Elephas maximus indicus: one gene and its partner. The protein of the gene in region 1 interacts with the protein of each later gene in a biochemical or structural test. Links are inferred from orthologs where the notes say so. Each region holds a gene or a part of one and is shown on either strand. Other genes may lie near its edges.

The links. The genes of interacting proteins can lie anywhere in the genome.
Region 2: the proteins of EZR (region 1) and ICAM3 form a complex in vitro, tested with the Homo sapiens proteins (2 studies listed by BioGRID). The link is inferred for Elephas maximus indicus from reciprocal best matches to the Homo sapiens genes EZR and ICAM3.

The regions. Positions count from the first base shown.
Region 1 is NC_064819.1:231,085,626-231,095,904, forward strand, and holds the start of EZR (ezrin), read right to left. Parts: upstream 3,924-10,279; 5' UTR 3,736-3,923; coding exon 3,724-3,735; intron 1-3,723. Other genes in the region: translation initiation factor IF-2-like, read left to right, coding at 4,620-5,315. UniProt on the Homo sapiens protein: Probably involved in connections of major cytoskeletal structures to the plasma membrane. In epithelial cells, required for the formation of microvilli and membrane ruffles on the apical pole. Along with PLEKHG6, required for normal macropinocytosis.
Region 2 is NC_064821.1:28,442,026-28,451,758, forward strand, and holds the start of ICAM3 (intercellular adhesion molecule 3), read right to left. Parts: upstream 4,474-9,733; 5' UTR 3,629-4,473; coding exon 3,547-3,628; intron 3,005-3,546; coding exon 2,738-3,004; intron 2,732-2,737; exon of another isoform or gene 1-2,731. UniProt on the Homo sapiens protein: ICAM proteins are ligands for the leukocyte adhesion protein LFA-1 (integrin alpha-L/beta-2). ICAM3 is also a ligand for integrin alpha-D/beta-2. In association with integrin alpha-L/beta-2, contributes to apoptotic neutrophil phagocytosis by macrophages.

The DNA of each region.
Region 1 (10,279 bases):
CCCTGGTCTCCATCTGATACCCCAAGCTCATCCTCCTCCCTCCCACCTTAGGGCCTTTGTACATGCTGTTCCCGCAGCCTGGTGCGTCCTCTGCTCCCCTTTCACCCAGAGACCACCCCTTCATTCTCTGCATTGTTCTGCACAATCGTCCCTTGCTCAGGCGGGCCTCTGCTGACTTCTCTGATAAGGACCCCTGCCCCGCCCCCAACCACACACACACCCTTGTAGATACTCCCACAGCACCAGTGTACCTGTCATGAGGCAACTTTCCAGAGCTGCAGTTCTATGTTAACTCTGTGACAACTGCCTGCCTCCCTCCCAAACTGTTAATCCAGGGCGGCAGAGACAATTTCTGTGTCTGTGCACGTCGGTGCCGTCAACACCCAGAACAAGGACCAGCACGTTAAATGTTGCCAAGCTCGCAGATGAGTGGGCAATCAGACTCATCCTCCTGCCCTACAGTGTGACAACGGCAAGTGACCACACTCCCAGCCAGCATTTCTCGCCCCACAGGGCCCAACCTTAGCTCCCGAAATCACCTACCACCCATGGTGAAGGAGGACGGGGGTGCAGAAAACAGACCCTGTGCACCCATCTCAACAGGTGGGGCCCATGGAAAACATATCATCAAATTCTGTCCTGCAAAAACATTCAGCACAGTGGATTACCTTTTCCACCATGGAAGAGGCCGTGTACTCTCAGAGAGGAAGGGAATCTCAGAGGTGATTGTCTCAGTTTACACAGAATTTTGAACACACTTTCACAGTTGTCTTAATGAAGGGTAGATCCACTTTTGCGTTAGAAACAAGTATGGAACCACTGTAGAAAGGACCACTAAGGCTTCTGTTTCTACCACCTGAATAAGGCTCAGCCCGCTAAGCTGATCACAGGCCTCGAAGGCAACGCCCTTTTCACTGCTGGGCTTGATGGCAGGGGTTTTCCAACGTCCCATGTCTTTCTAATGGCCCGTGTCTCCTATAACAATGAAGAAAGCAAGTGTGGGGGAAAGGAAGGAGGGAGGAGGTACTCCACACTCACCCTAATCCTTAGGACAGAGATTGTTTCCTGAACCAGCTCCTGGCACTGTGCCCTGAGACCCCCAAATCACTCTTCCTGGAAGTCTACCAGCTGCCCATGAATGAGCCCCAGGCAGCTGTGGGAAAAGCAAAACCAGCCAGGGCCAGCCATACACAGGTGTGCCCCCCCCCCTTGGAGGGCCTGGCTGATCAGGCCGCCCACGGCTCTAGTGCAAGCCGTGCAAGCCGCGGCTGCCATACTACTTTTCTTTGGTCCTCCCCATCAGGCCACTGACTGTTGAGGGCACTGTTTTAGGGCACTTTGCCAAGTTTTCCAGTTTCTATTTCAACATTTGTGTGTGTCTTGGGTTAAAAACCAGACTGGAAAGCTTCCCTGGGGCCATGAATCCGGCTCATCCACCTGCAGGTTACCTGCCCGCAGGTGTTTGCCGAGTGAATGAACACTCACTTTTTTTAACAAGTGGTGACTCAAGAAGCAGTATGAAGAGGACGCACAGCGAATCAGTATCTCATTTATACCGCTTTTTGGGTAACACTGTCGGCTGACTCAGTTTAGACAAAGCAACCAAGATTACTCTGCCTGATGAATTCTTCACAGGTTAATGATTGTAAGGAATGCAAAATCCCAGTAAGTCGGATGTCTCCATCTTTATAGGTAACTGGGCTGTTAAACATCAAGTCATACTGAAGACTCCTAACAAAATTCTTAGTTTGGGCTTGAACAGTTAGAATCAAGAACCTTCAAAGATGTGTTTAAAGAACACATCTACGGAACCTGGTGGAAGCGTTGGATTTCACATTTACTGAGGCAGAAAAACAAACAAACTAGATGCTCTATAACAGCACCTGAGAGGCACTATACGCATATGTTTGAAGGCCACTAAGCATTTCTCAGTGATCTGTGGGATGGCCCTAATACGCATCACACAAAGAAAGGCTTAATAAGTGTGTTTCTCTTACCAGGCAAAATCTCCAAGACCTTCCCCTGCCAAAAAGGCGGCAGGCAGGAATTTCCTACTGCAAACAGGTGGAGCTGGCCTTTTACTGACTTCTCAAAAACATCTGCTATTTCTAATTTTTCAATATTATACAAAATAGAGTGTCTCAAAAAGCTACCCTGGCTATTCAGATTCCCGCATGCAAGGTGACGGCCCCGTCCTCCTTAGCAACTCGAGAACTATTCTCAGTTTATCAGAACTTTTGCTAAGTTTCTGATTCATTATAAAAAAATTTTCTAAACAAACCGAAATTAAAACATACCTAACAAAAAATAAAGATTAAAAAAATTACCGTTCATCCTAAGAAATAAGAACCGTAGTGACAGGAAACAGGTTTGTGGATTTTCCTGAGTGATATCTTAAAAGCTAAGCTCTTCATCTCTATTTTAAATAAAGAAAACCACAGTCAAAACAATGATCTCTTGACTCCTCTGAATCACGTGCTTCCTGAGCTGGGCCCTGAGGAAGGGGGTTTTATATCATTGACAGCGCAAAGCCTGGGTGGTGTGTGCCTCCTGCAAGTCTGAAATGAAAAGAAGAATTTTGTGTAGGAGAAAAAAAAATCTTCATGAATGAATCAACTTGACGATGTAACGTAGGCGAAAACAGCATTGCCTTCTGTATCCATTAACACCAATAAAATAAATGTAACAGTAAAAGAACTGCTTTTGGGGAATCTAAAAAGTACCTAAGTATGATGATTATAGAATTAACTTGTTTGAAAAACTAGCAATAAACTCCCTATTTACCTTTTATTTCAAATTGTAATGACCGAAGTTTATTTTCTCCATTGTTATTCAAATTCAACCAAAACATTTTAAGCCCTTTCCTCAGTGTCTCCTGGCCAGTTCACCTGTGTTAAAGCAAGTGGATACAGCTTTCTAAAACGAGTCAGTCCCAAAGAGCCTGGCTGTTCCCACAATTTAAAAGAAAGCCTAACGCTCCACACCTGGTCCCCGATCTAACCCCGGACCTGAGCACAAATCAGATTAAAGCGAACAGAGCAGCAGGGTTCAGCAGTGCCGTAATCAGCTGATGTTGACCAGGAGTGCGAGGCCGGAGAGGCCCAGGGGGCCACCGGACCAAACTCCACCGGCCGCCTTCATCTGCAAGTCAAGCCCATTACTAAGCCTCCGCCAGAGACGGAGTCCTGCTGCCCCCAGCAAATTCCCGTCCACAGAACGCAGCTTGGGTAAAACGGACTGGGGCGACACTGCGGGCCAGAAAGGCGTGTCCCCTCTCCCTGGCGCCGTTCGAATTTCAAGGGAAGTCTGGGTTACGTTCGCTTTCGGACGCTAGAAGGAACTGGGAGTTCCTATCCGTCGTCCGGAGCTCTTGCTGCGATCCAGACAGCTTTTCTTTTTTTAAGAAGCTTCAAAATTGCATTCGAAAACACTTTTAAAACACACTGAAGCCGTGTAAAAGTGGAAATTCTAATTTTTTCAAAAGACCGTAACCGGGGAGGGAGGGAAGATGGTTCACAAAGAAAGACTGTAGAAAGAAAGGCATCACAGCCCACAAAAGAGTCAGCAGATAACAAAGAGGGGCCAAGTCCCCGTCGCCGTCCTCCCTCCGTTTGGAAGCGAGCCCTGTCCTACAGGTAGCAGCCCCACGCGCGTCCAGGTAACTCGCTCCCCTCGAAGATACGCCGGCCGCACCCAGCCCAGCGCTGGCACCGGGCCACTTACTGGTTTCGGCATTTTCGGTTCCCGGGAGGTTCTCCTCAATCCCTCGGAAACACAACTCTCAGTCGCAGCAGCCGAAGGGACCCGCCGACCTGGAGTGCGAGGAAGCGGTGAGGCGCAGGACAGCAGGCTGCTCCGCGGCGCACCGAGACCCCGGCCGCCCCGCGCGCCGCCGCTTAAGAACCGGCCGGGCGGGCCCCGGTGAGTCACAGCCCAACCTGCAATTACCGCGGCCGGGCGGGGCGGGGCGGGGCGGGGCCTGCGGCCGGGGCGGGGCCGGGCCTCGGAGCCGGGGGGCGGGGAGCGCGGGAAACGGGGGCGCACGGGGCTGGGAGGGGGCGCCGGGGAGCCTGCGGGAGTCCCGGTGTTCCGGGGCACGGGAAGTGGAGACGCGCGGGGACCGGGAGGGGGGCGGCCGCGCCGCTCCGGGGTGGGCCGTGGGGGGGTCTCGGCGCCCCAGGGCGGGGAGCGCGGGAAACGGAGGCGCACGGGGGCTCGGAGGGGGCGCCGGGGAGCGCTGTGGGAGTCTCGGTGTTCCGGGGCACGGCAAGTGGAGCCGCGCCGCCCTGGGGTGGGCCGTGGTGGGGGGGGGGGTTCGGCGCCCAGGGGGGTAGCGCGGGGAGAGGGGGCGCACGAGGACCGGGAGAGGGGCGGCCGCGTCGCTCCGAGGAGAGCCCTGGGATCGGCCGAAGGGGCCTCGCCCGCCGGCAGAGGCGGGGAGCGCGGGAAGTGGAGGCGCACGCGGACCGGGGAGGGGTCGCCGCGTCGCTCCGGGGAGGGTCTCGAGGGTCTCTGCGCCCGGTAGGGCAGAGCGCGCGCGAAGCGGGTCGCTCGGGGACGTGAGAGGGCGGTCGGGTCGCTCTGGGGAAGGCCGTGGGATCAGCCAGGGGGCGGGGCGCATGGGAACCGGGACGGGGGCGCCGGGTCGCTCCGGAAAGGGCCGTGGGGTGGGCCCGAGAGTCCCCCAGGGGAACGCGGACGGGCGGGCCCCAGAGTCCCCGGGCTCGGCGGAAGCGGTGGTAAGGCGCCCGCAGCAAGTTTCACTTTGTGTAGCAACTGTTTGTCCCGGGGCTAAAACCACCGCTGCCGCCGCCGCGCTTCGGAGGACCCCTTTCCTGCGCGACCGCCCTTTTCCGGAAGGAAGGCCACGGCAGCTCGGCGCTCGGCGGGCCGGTGAACAGGCCAGCGGTGTGGCCCCCAAGAAAGCCCCCCAGAAGCCGCAGGCAGCCCAGTGGGGGGCGGCCCAGCCCGGGGTTCGGCTCCGGGGACGACCCTGGCGCTCGCAGCGGCGCCCCCGATACCAGCCCACCACACCTGCGGCGGCACGAGCCACTCCCGCCCGGGCAGCAGCGCGGTCCGGAGAGCCCGGCCCGGAGAGCCCGGCCCGGAGAGCCCGGCGGGGCGGGTGTGTGGGGGACCGCGCCCTTCCCGGCCGACCACGAGGAGCGCCCTGGGCGCAAGATGGCCGCGGGTCGGGAGGGCGCGCTCGTCGAGTCTCCATCTTAAAGATCTGCCCTGGCCGCTGCCCGGCCTTTGCCCTTGGAGAGAACTTGGCAGAGTTTGGTTCCTCTCCTGAGGGTAGATGTAAGGTGTGAGCCTGTCCACAGTGAACAGAGGGAATCGAGAAAACCTAAATAAGCCTGGAGTGGCGGGCAGCCACGGGGGAGCTGCTGTGCCGTCTCCGTCTCGGGATGACGCCGCCCTTGGTCACTCGGTTGCCCCAAGTCTGAGGGCGGCCTAGGTTGGCGGGACCTGCGGGCTGCATCCCCGCGCACGTGGCCCAGCCACGTCCACGTCCCGATTCCGCGAAGAAAGTTAAAGAACAGAAAACGCACCGTCCCCCAGTACCTAGTTAAAGGGCAAATGAGTGTCCTTACAGGACTTGACTAGCAAAAAGCTATTGTTCACTTCATAGGAAGTCACCTCTGAAATTCTAGGAGTTATTTTTATTATTATCGCAAATGGTTCTCCCGAGGAATTTAAAAAACAAAACAAACAAAAAAGTAAAAAGGCGTGTGTGTACTTCTGGTAGCCAGTAGAATATGCTGCTCAGCGATTTAGAGAGCAAACTCCAGAGGTGCCCTGACTATCAGCATCACCTGGGAGCTTGTCAGAAATGCAGGTTCTCAGGTGTTACCCCAGACCCGCCGAATCAGAAACTAAGGCCTGCCATCTGCATAATAACAACCCCTCGGGTGATTGTGATGTGTAGGCTGAAAGTTGAGAACTAGGGTTTCCCCCTAAATTCCCTTCTGGGGTTGCCACTAACTCCCTGTGTGAGCCTAGTGAGCTATTTAACAACTTTGTGCTTTACTTTTCTCATCTGTAAAATGGCATAACAATGACACCTATTTCATAAGGTTATTATGAGGGTTAAATGGGCTACTATATGAAAGATGTTTGGAACAGTACTTGGCGGTAGGTAGTAAGCATTCAGATATCTCCTCGCAAAGCATAACTGGTGACTTTGGGCAAAGTAGCAAACCCTCTAAAATTCCCAATTTGTGAAATGGAGATAATAGCAGCACTTTCACATAGACTTGTAAAGATTCAAAGATATTATGCATGCAAAGTGCCTGGTAAGGTATTCGGCTCATGGTAATGCTTAACCTGTCACAGCAGGGGTTGTTTCTTGATGAACTTTGGTCATTTAGCACCTGTGACCTTCCCAAGCTGCAGAATGGGGCATTTCAGAGGCAGGCGTGGAGGGAGGCCTTTTCTGAGATTTGTTCTCTTTTCTGGCAAGCTGTTACCTCTGAAAGAATGAGTATCTTTTTTATTAAAATGACCTTATGGTAACTGCAGTAGGAAGGAAACTATGAAATATATTTAAATAACCTGAAATGATAATGGGTCAGATTGGACATACTACTCTTAATATACTTTATCTCCGCCTCCTTTTCACTGCCTGGGGCCTTGGTGGTTATTTTTGGTCTCCAACTCTGCAGATAAGGTATGCTTCTAATCTTTTTTTTTAAATCTCAGTTCAAAGTGTACTGTCTTCTGAATTGGAGGTTTGAAATAGTCCAGGATGTTTTCTGAACTTTACCCTCCAGGGGACTGCTGAAGATGAAATGGCCGGTGGCATTGTGAAATGAAAGGATCACAGGCCTGAGAAGCAAACAGCAGAACAAAAACCTTCAAGTTGATTCCATATTATAGCAAGCCTATAGGACGGAGTAGAACTGCCCCATAGGGTTACCAAGGCTGTAGGCCCTGGTGATGCAGTGGTTAAGCACTTGACTGCTAACTGAAAAGTCAGTGGTTTGAACCCAACAGTCTGCTTCCATAAAGATTTATAGCCTTGGAAACCCTATGGGGCAGTTCTGTCCCATGGGACCACTATGAGTCAGAATTGACTCAATGGCGATGGGTTAGTTTTTTGGCTTTTTTCTGGTTTAGAACCTAAGAAGTCCCTGGGTGATGCAAAGGGTTAATGCGCTCAGCTGCTAACAGAAAGCCCTGGTGATCTACTTCTGAAAAGTCGGCCATTGAAAACTACGGAGCACAGCTCTGCTCTGACACACATGGGGTCCCAATCTTGCGATTCCATGGCAACCGACAGAACCTAAACCCTGCCTCCAGCTTACCTCCCCACCTCTACACACAACATACACACAAAAGATTGAACTCCAAAGCAGTCTACGAGAATTGCTTAGGACAGTGACTCTCAAACCTAGGTGTGCATTAAAATATCTCATGGAGCCCCCCTGTAGGAATTATGGTGGAGCCCTGGTAGTGCAATGGTTAAGAGTTACGATGGCTAACCAAAAGTTCGGCAGTTCAAATCCACCAGCCGCTCCTTGGAAACCCAAAGGGGGAATTCTACTCTGTCCTGTAGAGTCACTGTGAGTGGGAATCAACCTGCCAGCAGTGGGTTTGGTTTGGTGTTTGCTGGTTTGCAGTCTAAAGTGGGCCGTGGGAGTCAATGTCTTCAACAAGTCCCCCAGGTGGCTCTGACATACACCAAAATTTGCAAACCACTGACTTAGGATGTGAAAGGATCTTGACGAGTTTTATTCACCTTGCCTCCCCCTTCACCCTTCTTTTGTCAGGTTATGCTGGCATTTGTCAGCTGTGGTTCTGTTTAATGTATGATAATCAATGCAGTGAACGGCAGTGAGGAAACTCTGGAGCCAGGAGTCTTGGCGCTATTCCCTGCTTTCCTTTGTCTACCTCTTTGACCTTGAGCTACTCGCTCCTCATTGAGGGGTTTCAGTTTTTCACTGAGAGGAGGGAATCATCCATCTGCCTCCTGGGCCCGAGGAAAGGCTGTTTGTCAGCTGCCTGGAGTTCTTCAGGCAAGGTTAAACCAAAGTGAGGTGGGGCAGCCCGTGGGCAAGGGCAAGAGCTGTAGTACGCAGAATGTTCACGTTCCCCATATGTAGACTGTCTGTCACACTGCCTCCGAGCCTGTCGTATTTGTATCTCACACTGGTGCCAGCTTAATCTCAGCTGTTGTTGTTGCTAGGTGCCATCAGTGATTTCCAGCTCTTAGAGACCCCATGTGACAGCGGAATTGCATCCCGGAATTGAGTGGACTCAATGGCAGCTGGTCTGGTCTGAGCCCTGGCAGCGCAGTGGTTAAGTGATACGCCGCTAACCAAAAGGTCAGCAGTTCAGATCTACCAGCCGCTCCTTGGAAACTCTATGGGGCCGTTCTGCTCTGTCCTATAGGGTCGCTATGTGTCAGAATCAACTCCACAGCAATGGGTTAATCTTTACAAGAGCAGATTGCCAGGTCTTTCTCTTGCTAATCTGAACTAGTAAAAGAAAAAAAGAAAAGCTCAAAGTAGTGCGACGGTCTCTAGCCTCAGTTGCTTCAAAGGAACAGTCAACAGGCGGTAGGGAAATACATAAAGAGGGCTCTTTATACAGGGGTGTTGGTCCCTCTCTGGCACTTAATAACCTTGGCTGAAAATTCGGGCAGTGACTGCGTCTGGAGGACAGGGACAAGGCGGCAATTAGAGGGGCTACGTGGTGGCTCGTCTGCGTGGTGGCTCGTCTGCGTGGTGGTGCTTCATTAGGATGAGTGGTGGTTCACAGGTGTCCTTGGAACAGCCTTGGTGCGTGTTTTGTGGATATGAAGTATTTCTTAATAAATGTTTTAGACTTAACATTGGGGTCAGCTTTCCATTGGCAGAGATGATAGCTAAAGAGAAATAAACATTTCATGTAACCTTAGAAAGTTCCCTGAACACGGTATGTAAATTTCTATTATCATCTCACATTCCGTTCTGGCCTGTGCAAGGGTGACCTGTCCTTACAGTGTGGGTAAGAGAGTACACGACAACTAAGGACTCAGAATGACCCAACCAAGCTGACAAGTGACCACTCAGCTGTATTCGAATCTGCAGTGCATTTAGAAAGAACTTCTAAAGGGTCTTTGGCATCGCCATGTGTTGGATTGACCCAGGACAATAAGCTACAAAGCACCTCTTGGTACTATTATGATGGCATTCTATAATCCGGGTCAGCTGAGCCCTGGTGGCACAGTGGTTAAGAGCTCAGCTGCTAACCAAAAAGTCGACAGTTCAAATCCACCAGCTGCTCCTTGGAAAACCTGTGGGGCAGTTCTCTGTCCTACAGGGATGCTATGAGTCAGAATCGACTTGACAGCAATGGATACAGGTAAGAAGCTTAGGTGTTATATTTTCATGGAGTTTCCTTGACTGATTTAATAATTTGTGTACCAGTAATCTGGGCCCTGGTGGCACAGTGGTTAAAGTGCTCGGCTGTTAACTGAAAAGTTGGCAGTTCAAACCCACCAGCCACTCTGAGGGAAAGAGATGTGGCAGTCTGCTTTCGTAAAGATTACAGCCTTGGAAACCCTGTGGGGCAGTTTTACTGTCCTACAGGGTCCTATAAGCCAGAACCAACTCCAAGGCAACACGCTTGGTTTTTGGACATCAATAATCTGGAATGCTGGTGGTGCAAACAGTTAAACGCTCGCTGCTAACTGAAAGGTTGGCAGTTCAAACCCACTCAGAGGTTCTGCAGGAGAAAGACCTAGAGATCTGCTCCTGAAAAGATTACGGCCTAGACTACCCTGTGGAACAGTTCTACTCTGTCACATGCGGTTGTTATGAGTTGGAGTCGACTCGACAGTATAAAACAACAATACCAGTAACCAGTTACCATCAAGCCGATCCCGACTTAAGGCGATCCCATGTTATTTCAGAATAGAGCTGTACTCCATAGGGTTTTCATGGCTATGACCTTTCGGAAGCAGATCACCAGGACTTTATTCCGAGGCATCTCAGTGGGTCTGAACTACCAACCTTTCTGTCAGTGGCGCGGCAGTTAGCTATTTGTGCCACCCAGCAACTCCTAACCAGGTGCTGTTGAGTTGATTCCAACTCCTTAACAATTTTTATGTGAAAGTATACTAATGACCACACTTGTTGGACAGAGGAACTACCAGATAACATTAAAAAAAAAAAAACCCAGTGCCGTGGAGTCGATTCCGACTCATAGCGACCCTATAACATAGCTTCCTTTATTACAATTTCTCTTCTCCCTGGGCATTTTAACTGTTAAGTAACAGTACGGGGCAGTT
Region 2 (9,733 bases), on another chromosome or scaffold:
TGGTATTCCGTCAATTCCTGGATCCTTGTTTTTTATCAGTGCCCTCAGTACAGCTTGGACTTCTTCCTCCTGTACTACTGGTATTTGATCATATGCTATCTCCTGAAATGGTTGAACATCAACCAATTTATTTTGGTACAGTGACTGTGTATTCTTTCCATGTTCTTTTGATACTTCCTGTGCAATTCAATGTTTTCTCTGTAGAATCCTTCAATACTGCTACTCAAGGCTTGAATTTTTTCATCAATTCTTTCAGCTTGAGAAATGCTGAGAGTGTTGTTCCCTTTTGGTTTTCTAACTCTGGGTCTTTGCACATGTCATTATAATACTTTGTCTTTTCAAGCCACCCTTTGAAATCTTCTGTTCATCTCTTTTACTTCATTTCTTCCATTAGCTTTAGCTACTCTATGTTCAAGAGCAAGTTTCAGACTCTTCTGTTCCAGGACACAATGAGGATTTGAAACACTGATGAAGATCAAAGTCTACAGCCTTCAGTATAGATTATACCTCAACATAAAACAAAAATCTTTACAACTGGACCAATAAGCAACATCTTGATAAAAAGAAAGTATTGTCAAGGATATCAGTTTACTGGGATCCACAATCAATGCCCATGGAAGCAGCAGTCAAGAAATCAAAGGACGTATTTCATTGGAAATATCTGCTGCAAGAGACCTCTTTAAAGTGTTAAAAAGCAAAGATGTTACTTTAAGGACTGTGATGGTTAAGATTGTGTGTCAACTTGGCTGGGCCATGATTCTCAGTGGTTTGGCAATCGTATGATGTTGTGATCACTTCCATGTTGAGATTTGATATAATGTGATCACCCCCATGATGGGATCTGCTGTGAGCAGTCAGTTGAAAGGGAGTTTCCTTGGGCGTGTGGCCTGCATCGAATATAAGTGGACGTTCTGACAAGGGACATTCTGGTGGGCTTTTACTCTCTCTGGATCCTGCAGCTGGCTCCTGCAGGTGGCTCCTGCTCATCTGGCCTCTGGTCCTTGGGACTTAAGCTAGCATCTTACCTGTGGTCTTGCCTGCCGATCTCAGGATTCGTCAGTCTTCACAGCCTGTGAGCAACAGCCCTGCTCTCTGACCTACCAATCTTGGGTTCTCCAGGCACTGCGGCTATGTGAATCAGGAGAAGCCTCCTGACCCACAGACTTGGGACATTCCAGTCTCTACAACCACATAAGCCACTTCCTTGATATAAATCTCTCTCTATATATATATTTATACACTTCACTGGTTTTGTGTCTCTAGAGAACCCAGCCTTAGATGAGGACTAAGGTGCAGCTGACCCAAGCCGTGGTATTTTCAATCACCTCATGTGCATGTGGAAGCTACACAATGAATAAAGAAGACCGAAGAAGAATTGCTGCCTTTCAATTATGATGTTGGCAAAGAATATTGAATATACCATGGACTGCCAGAAGAACAAATTTGTCTTGGAAGAAGTACAGCCAGAATGCTCCTTGGAAAGAAGGATGGTGAGACTTCATCTCATGTACTTTGGACATGTTATCAGGAGGGACCTGTCCCTGGAGAAGGACATCATGCTTGGTAAAGTAGAGGGTCAGCAAAAAAGAGGAAAACCCTCAGGGAGATGGATTGACTCGATGGCTGTCACAGTGGGCTCAAACACAGCAATGCTTTTGAGGATGGCGCGAGACCAGGAAGTGTTTCGTTCTGTTGTATGTAGAGTCACTGACTCATGGGCACCTGACAGCAACAACAACAGAGACACATACACACAGATACTGATCTGCAGACATATATATTCACAGACAGCACATGCAGAGATAGACACGTACACACAGGCACACACAGCTGTAGGCACACACAAACACAGAGACACAGACACCCGTACAGACAGACACTAACACAGATATATATGTCCGTTCACACGGACACGCACGAATACTGACATACACAGATACATAGGCTCAGGGACAAACACGTAAGTACATGAAAAACTGCCACACAGATCCCGACACACACACACACAAACTCACGGGCATATTCATAATCTCAGACAGGTACACTACATTCACTTACAAAGCCTTCACAAAATAGTAGTCACTATGTGTGACATCGTCTGTTATTTTCTAGTCTGTTCTATTTTTTAAAATGCAGAGAAACTCTGAAAGGATGTCTAAAACACTGGTAACAGGGATAGAAGTTCTGGGAAGAAAGACTACCTGTTAAGAGCAGAAACTTGGATGCTGGACTGCCACTGGCAAGTGACTTCACCCCACTGAGCCTCAGTTTCCCTGTCTGTGAAATGGGGCTTATCACTGCACCTACCTCCCAGGGCTTTTGTGAGGATTGAATGAACAAATAGGTGTCAAGCCCTTAAGATAATGCCCATATGCAGTGAGTGCTAGGCAAATGACAATTTTTACTTTACATCTTTTTATATTTCTTGGGTTTTGAACCACATTAATTTTTACCTACCATCAGAATAAAAGTAATAAATAAAAGACATGAGATAACGTTTTAAAAATTGCTCATTGGGACCCAAATAAATTGATTTCACAACTGGGCCCCTGGCAAAAGGTTGAGATGTATGTCTGTATGTGTTTGTCTTTCTGTTTTTCTCACACACACACACACACACACACACACACACACACACACACGTCCAGGTCCAGCCCTGGGTCAGAGCCCTGGTCCATTCCTGCAAACTCAGCCCCCAACTGCTGCCCGCTGCCAGTCGCCAGCCCCGTCCACTCACGGTACACGGTGATGCTGGTAGAGCCACTAATCTGGGAGCCATTGCAGAACCCAGCACAGATAATGTCGCTGTCACCAGTCACATTGCTGAGCTGGAAGGCTGACCAGCTCAGTCCACTGCCCACTGGCTGCTTGGACAGGGCCGTCTCCAGGATGATATTTTCAGGATCCGGGCAGTCAGCACTGCAGTTCACCAGGAGCGACCCTCCAGTGGGCACCACTGGGTTCTGGGGCTCCACCCGCAGGGGGGACACCTGCCCCTGGGCACCTGCGGGGGCATGAGGAAGCTCAGGTGGCTGTTCCAGTATCCCCCAACCCACCCCTCTGCAGGCCCCCTCTTCATGCTGGGATATGAGGGGAAGCAGTCTGGTGGGGAAGACAGATGACCAGAAAAAAAAACGGGGAGAATTCCGAGGGAGGCCCTGATCCACCCTAAAGGAGAGAGTGGGTTACAGGAGGCTTCCTGGAGGAACAGACACCTACAGCCAGCTCTGAAAGGTGGATAGGAGTTAGCCATGTAGAAGGGAAAAGTGTTCCTGGCAGAGGGAATAGCATACGCAAAGGGCTGGGGGTCCTGATGGCTCATGGAGAGTGTGCGTGTGTAGCACAAGTCACACAAGAGGACCGGGCTGTGGGGATCCCTGAAGCCCAGTTAAGGAGCCCGACTTTCTCCAGAGGACATGGAGGAGCTCCGATCAGATTCGAGTTCCCAGAAAGGCGCACAGCAACCAGACCAGCAGGATGTGGGCAGCTGTGCTTTCTCCGTTCCCCGCCCCCAACCTACTAGTCCCCCCAACCCTAGGCACTCACCTGGGGGCAGCAGGCAGCAGACCAGCAGCAGGAGGATGAGCAGAGACAGGCAGGCCTGGAGCAGTGGTGCCAAGGGCACCATGGTGGTCAGTCTTTGGGGAAAAGGTGCCCTGATGAGGTGCCAGCAGTGCAGGGGGTGGGTAGGTCACCCAGGGAACGGAAATGGCGGTTAGGATGGCAGAAGCCAGGGGCTGCACTGTGGCCAGGCCCAGGGAGGGGCAGGGGGATTCTCTGTGGCCCCAGAGTGGGCTACCTCGGCAGGTGCGGGGCCCAAGAAGCCCCGGGGGTGGGGGTGGGGTCGCTGGGCACTGGCAAGTCTCTGACAGGGCAGACCTTAGCTGCACTGCTGGCTCCCAGGTGAACCCACAGGAAGTGCTAACACAACTGGTTTCCTTTGTTTTCACCAACAGGGACCCTGCGGGGAGGCGGGGGTGATGAGACACCTTCCTTCAGAACTGGGTGAGATGGTGATTGGTCCTTAGAAAGGGAAGTTAATGCGGGGGGGGCCCTCTGGGCACTGTCCTCGAGGCGCTAGGTGGGATTTCAAGGCAAACTTTCAAAGGGGGTGACAATGGGAGACTTTTAAGCATAGCCTCAAGAAGTTAGTGTGAAATTTTAACATTCTGGGGGGCAAATAAAGAATTTGGGGGTGACAGTGAGGAACCCCTAGGATGAGAGATGCCATAAAAATGAACAGAACCCACATTTATTGAGCGCTTACTAGATGCCAGGCCCTGTGCTGACCCTGAGCAAGGCCATGGCCCCTGAAGGTCCTTTACCTTTGAAGATCTTGAGGATCTCCCACTCCCTGCAGGCAGTGCCAAGGCAGGTGTCTTAGGAACGAGTCCTGGGCCACTGTCTTGAAGATGCCACTTGTAACTGGCTTTTACCCCTGTCCTGCACCCTGCCTTTGCCCCTCCAGCTTGTTTCTTCACTCCAAGAAAAGTGCTCTGCCCTTTCTCCTCCCCTCCCCTCCCCCCGGCCCTGCCCTCTCTCCTTCTCTGCCTCTCTCAGCTCTCCACCAGCCTCCTCACTTCCTGTGCCTCTATCCCAGTTCTATAAGAGAGACCTTGTTGAGGGCCTTGATAGTGCCGTGCCTGGTATTCATCTATTTTCCCCATCCCTAAGGCCATAGCACCCGCCCCTTCTTGCTTGGAGATCCCACCAACTAAGTCTCTCTGCTGCTGCTCTGTCCCCCAAAAGATCCGCTTGCCACAGTTCTTGAGAGACCAACTCAAAAGGCAAATCAAATCCCGTCATTCCCTCTGTTTCACATCCTCCAGACTCCTTGCCTGGGCCTAGCTGCTCCTTTTGTTTGCTCAGGACCCCTCTGCCCTTAGCTCCTCCCAGCTTCCTCTCCTCTTTCTGCTCCAGCCACACTGGCCTCTCTGCTGTGCCTCAAGACCACACCACTCACCCAGAACAGTCCCCTCTCCGGGCCTTCGCACATGATGTTCCTTCTGCCTGGACCACTCTATATTTACACGGGGGGACATGGCTCCTCCCTCACCTCCATCTACTCAGGTGAGGCCTTCCCAGGTGTAAAATGGGGGCAGTAGTAGTACTAGTAGCAGTATCAGTAGCAGCATCAGAACCTGTCTAACTTCAGGGAGGACAATGCAATTCAAGATCAGCCCAAGGCTGATCACTATGAGCTGGAGACCAAACATACCTCCACTCTCCAGCCTTTTTACCGATTCTGACACCAACCACTCCTCCCACAGCACTCTACTTCTCTTCTGGGCTTGATAATCTGTTGCAGTGGCCACACAGAACTCAAAGAGCATAGTTAAGTGGTCTATTCAGGAAGTAACAGACTACAACTCAGGATCAGGAAGCATGTAGGCAGAGTCCCCTTCTTCAGTGCAGGACAGCTCTCTCAGCTCCTCTCGGTAGGACAGGCTCCTCTTGGCCTTGCCATCCATTACTGCCCACTCTGCCATGGGCCCAAGCTGGGCCTGTCGCTCCTGGCCCTGCCACTGGGTCCCTTGCTGTCTTTAATGTTATGGCTCTTGACCTGGGTTACAGCCCTTTTAGGAGGTTCCTTGTCTCTTCTCTCTGCTGCTTTTCTTCCTGCTTCTATCTCAAAAACCTCTGTGGTGCTGGCTGCTTATATACACAACTGCTTGTCAATTTCAAGGCATGGCCCCTCCCAATGGGGGTGGGCACAAGCTGACCAATCCCCTCTCAGTAGGCCTCAGACACTTCATTTGCATAGTAGGCTACACCTCCTCTCATTTGCATAGTCTATCAACAAATCCCTGCAAGGTGCATACCAATCACAGGGCAGGCTGCAGCCCAGGACCAGACCAAAAGTATCAAATCAAGTTATTCACAATTTACCCAGGAAATATCAATCAACCTGGACAAAAGTAACAAACCCTCTGGGGTAGAAAACTAGGACAAAGATAACCCCTCAGGCCTTACGGGGAAAAAAATCTCAAGCTGTTTTTTCAAAGAACCAAGGTAAAAGGCCATATACAGGAATTCGTTTCACCACACCTGGTCACCCATTTTACAACTGTCACTCAGCCTTAGGCTTTACCTTTTGTCCCCATAAATCATCACCTTCTAACATATTTATAATTTACTGTTTTTTCTTTCATCACTTTCTAACATACTTATAATTTACTAACCCCTTTTTTTTTTTTCTTACTGCCCCTTGAATGCCTCTCCCACCTAGAATATAAGGGCGGAAATCTTTGCCTAGCTCACTGCTGTACCCCAGTGACTAGAACCGTGTCTGGCACACAGTAGGTTCTCAATGAATATTTGTTGGATGGACACACACAGAAATTTGGTACATGGGTTGGGGGTCTTGTGACCCCTGAAATCCTTTTGTGGGACCCTCGCAGGCTTCTGTGAACTCCGGGATGTTGCCCTAATAGGTGATTCACAAAGAACAGATGTCCCTTGGCAAAGGAGACAGGCGATGTCTGTGCCCTCCCTGCTCCCAACCCTGCCCTGTGGGGGGTAGATCTTGCCAGGGGCTTGGTCCCTTGGGCCAAGAGGGAGTGAAGAGAGAAGCGGGGAGCCCAGGAAGAAGTGTGGTGGCAGTGGCCACCAAGTCTCTGGAAGACATGAGTGATGACTGCCCCACCTGGGTGGGAAAACAGGACCCTAGAACGTGAAAGGCCAATGTCTGAGCTTGAGACAGGTGGGAGGAGAGGGTGCTCCCCAGCCCAGGAAAGATATGAAGTATCTGCTATTGTATCACACCGTGTTGGAACTGTCCCACCCTGAACTTCCTCATCTGTGAAGTGGGCATGTCCAGAGCCCCCACCTTCTAGACTGCCACCTGTCAGTCAGGTTGTCATACTGTAGTGGCTTGTGTGTGTTGCTGTGATGCTGGAAACTACACCACCAGTATCTCAAGTACCAGCAGGGTCACCTATGGTGGACCGGTTTCAGTGGAGCATTTCGGCCTAAGACAGACTAGAAAAAAAGCCCTGGCGATCTACTTCTGAAAATTAGCCAATGAAAACCCTATAGATCGCAACAGAACATCGTATGACATAGCGCTGGAAGATGAGCCCCTAGATTGGAAGGCACTTAAAATACACAGCGGCCACAATAATGGATTTGAGCACACCGACCGCAAAGATGACGAAGGTCTGGGCAACACTTCGTTCTGTTGTACATGGGGTCACCATGGGTTGGAGCCAGCTCTAGGATAACTAAAAACGACCTTCTAGAGATGCCAGGAGCAGCCAGTGAGCTGAACCAGCACACAAGGACCTAATGCAGAGTCTGTGGCCTCACAACTGCACCCTGTTGTCCACAGCAGTGGGGGTGGGACCGCCTCACGGGGCTCACAGGGCTGACTGGGCTCAAGCCTGAGCCGTGTTTGCCATCTCCTCAATGGTAACATGGCAATCACAGTGCTCCCTTCTGGAGTGGTGTGATCACTGAGCACTTTAATACATGTACAGAGCTCAGCACACTGCCCAGCATATATCTAACCCTCGCCCTAAGCCCACGAGGCCCCTGGTTTTCTCCATTTTACAGCTGAGGCAACAAGTTCAGAAAAGTGGCGTGACTTGCCCGAGGAGGCACAGGGAGTTGGAAGATTAAGCAGACAAGTCCTGACAGTGACACCTCTCATCTTGTGAATTTCTGAGGACCCCTTCAGGTGGGGAAATACTGCTCAAAACTGCAAAGACATCAGGGCTTGCAATCCTGTTGAAACTCTAGCAGGATATTTCACGGGAAAAGCCATATTAAAAACAATTACATCCACCTATTTTGATTTGCACTCAAAACATGAGGGGGGTGGAGGAATGGAGAGATGGAGAGATGCAGTATGCTAAAGCAAATTTAACCACTTGCTGTCAAGTCAACCCCGACTCCTGGTGACCCCACATGTATCAGAGTAGAACTGTGCTCGGTAGGGTTCTCAATGTCTGAGTTTTTCAAAGTAGATCACCAGGCCTTTCTTCTGAGGTGCCTCTGGCTGGACTCAAACCTCCAACTTTTCAGTTAGCAGCAAATTTAACAGCATATTAATTGTGGAATCCAGTGGTGGTCACTGTGCAATTCTTTCAACTTTCCTGTATGTTTGAACATTTGGAAAGTAAAAATTGCATCCTGATGGATCAGGGCATAGAGCCCCGAGGCTGTTCATGTCACAAAAGGAGTGTCAGCCGGACCCCCTGTGCCCCCTGCTGAGAAAGCACAATGCCTCCTGCGGAGAGGTCTCCCCCCAAAAGTGAAACTGAATCTGACCAAGACTTCACAGGAATCTCAGAGGAACTCGATAAGCCACCGCGAAGATAGCAGTCTACCAGACAAACAACCTGGTTTTTTCTTCAAATATGTTGCCAGAGAGGAAAAAAGAGGACGGGAACCTGGAATTTAATGATGCAGCATGTGGACCTTGGATCCTTATTCGAACAAACTGTAAACAAATAAACAAATAACAAATATTTAAGAGACAATTGGAGAAGTTTGAATACTAAGAGGCCATACAATGATGCTGAGGAATTATTATTAATTTTAGGTTGATAATGATATGATACTGTGGTTGTTTCAGTCATTATCTTTTTGAGATACATATTGAGGTTTTTACAGGTGAAACGATGTCTGCGATTTGCTTCAAAATTATCCGGTGTCAGGGGCTGGGGTAGCGGCAACACTGAAACTAGACTGGCCATGGGCTTTGGAAACTGGTGAAGCTGGGTGACAGCTAAGTACAGGTTATCTTAATGTCTCTAGTTTTGAATATGCTTTAAAACGTCCATAAGAAAATGTTCAAAAAAAAAAAGATAACTACGCAAGATTAAGTCAAGATAATTTTGAAAAAAGAATGAGGAGAGAACGGTTCTATAAACTATTCAAACATAGTGGCAGCCTCTTTCAAAATTACCAGGCCCAGACCCTGCAACCTGCCACTCCACGGCTGAATATACATCCTAGGGTCCCCTTGCACATGGGTGAGACAGTCACTCACTGCAGCAGCATTATAGGAACGGGAAGGGTTGGAATCGAACTACAAGAACACCAAAACCAAAAAACCAAACCCGTTGCTGTCGAGTCGATCCTGACTCATAACGACCCTAAAGCACAGAGTAGAACTGCCCCATAGGGTTTCCAAGGAGTGGCTGGTGGATTCGAACTGCCAACCTTTTGGTTAGCGGCTGAGTTCTTAACCACCGCACCACTAGGGGTCCTACAAGAATACCAGTTGGGGACAAACGTTGTTAACACTTAAGCAATGGGCCACAAAAAAACAAAAAACAAAGCCATTGCCATCAAGTCAGTTCTGACTCATGGCAACTCATGTGTTACAGAGAACTGCTCCATAGGTTCTTCTTGGTTGTAATCTTTATAGAAGCAGATTGCCAGGCCTTTCTTCCACAGTGCCACTGGGTGGATCTGAACTGACAACCTTTAGTTTAGTAGTCAAGCACAAACTGCACCACCCAGAGACCTACTACACAATCATCATAAAACAGAATGAAGACCTTCTGGATGCCTTGGTACATGGAACTATCTCCAGGATCTATTATATAAAACAAACAAAAAAAGCAAGATACAGAGTAGAAGCTCTGTATGGTAGAGCATGCGATTTTTGCAAAAGATGGGAAAGCATATAACATATATGCAGAGTTCCTTGTATCTGCATAAAAGATCTCTGGAAGCAAACATAGGAAACCTGAAGACATTGGTTGCTTCTGGGGATAAGAAA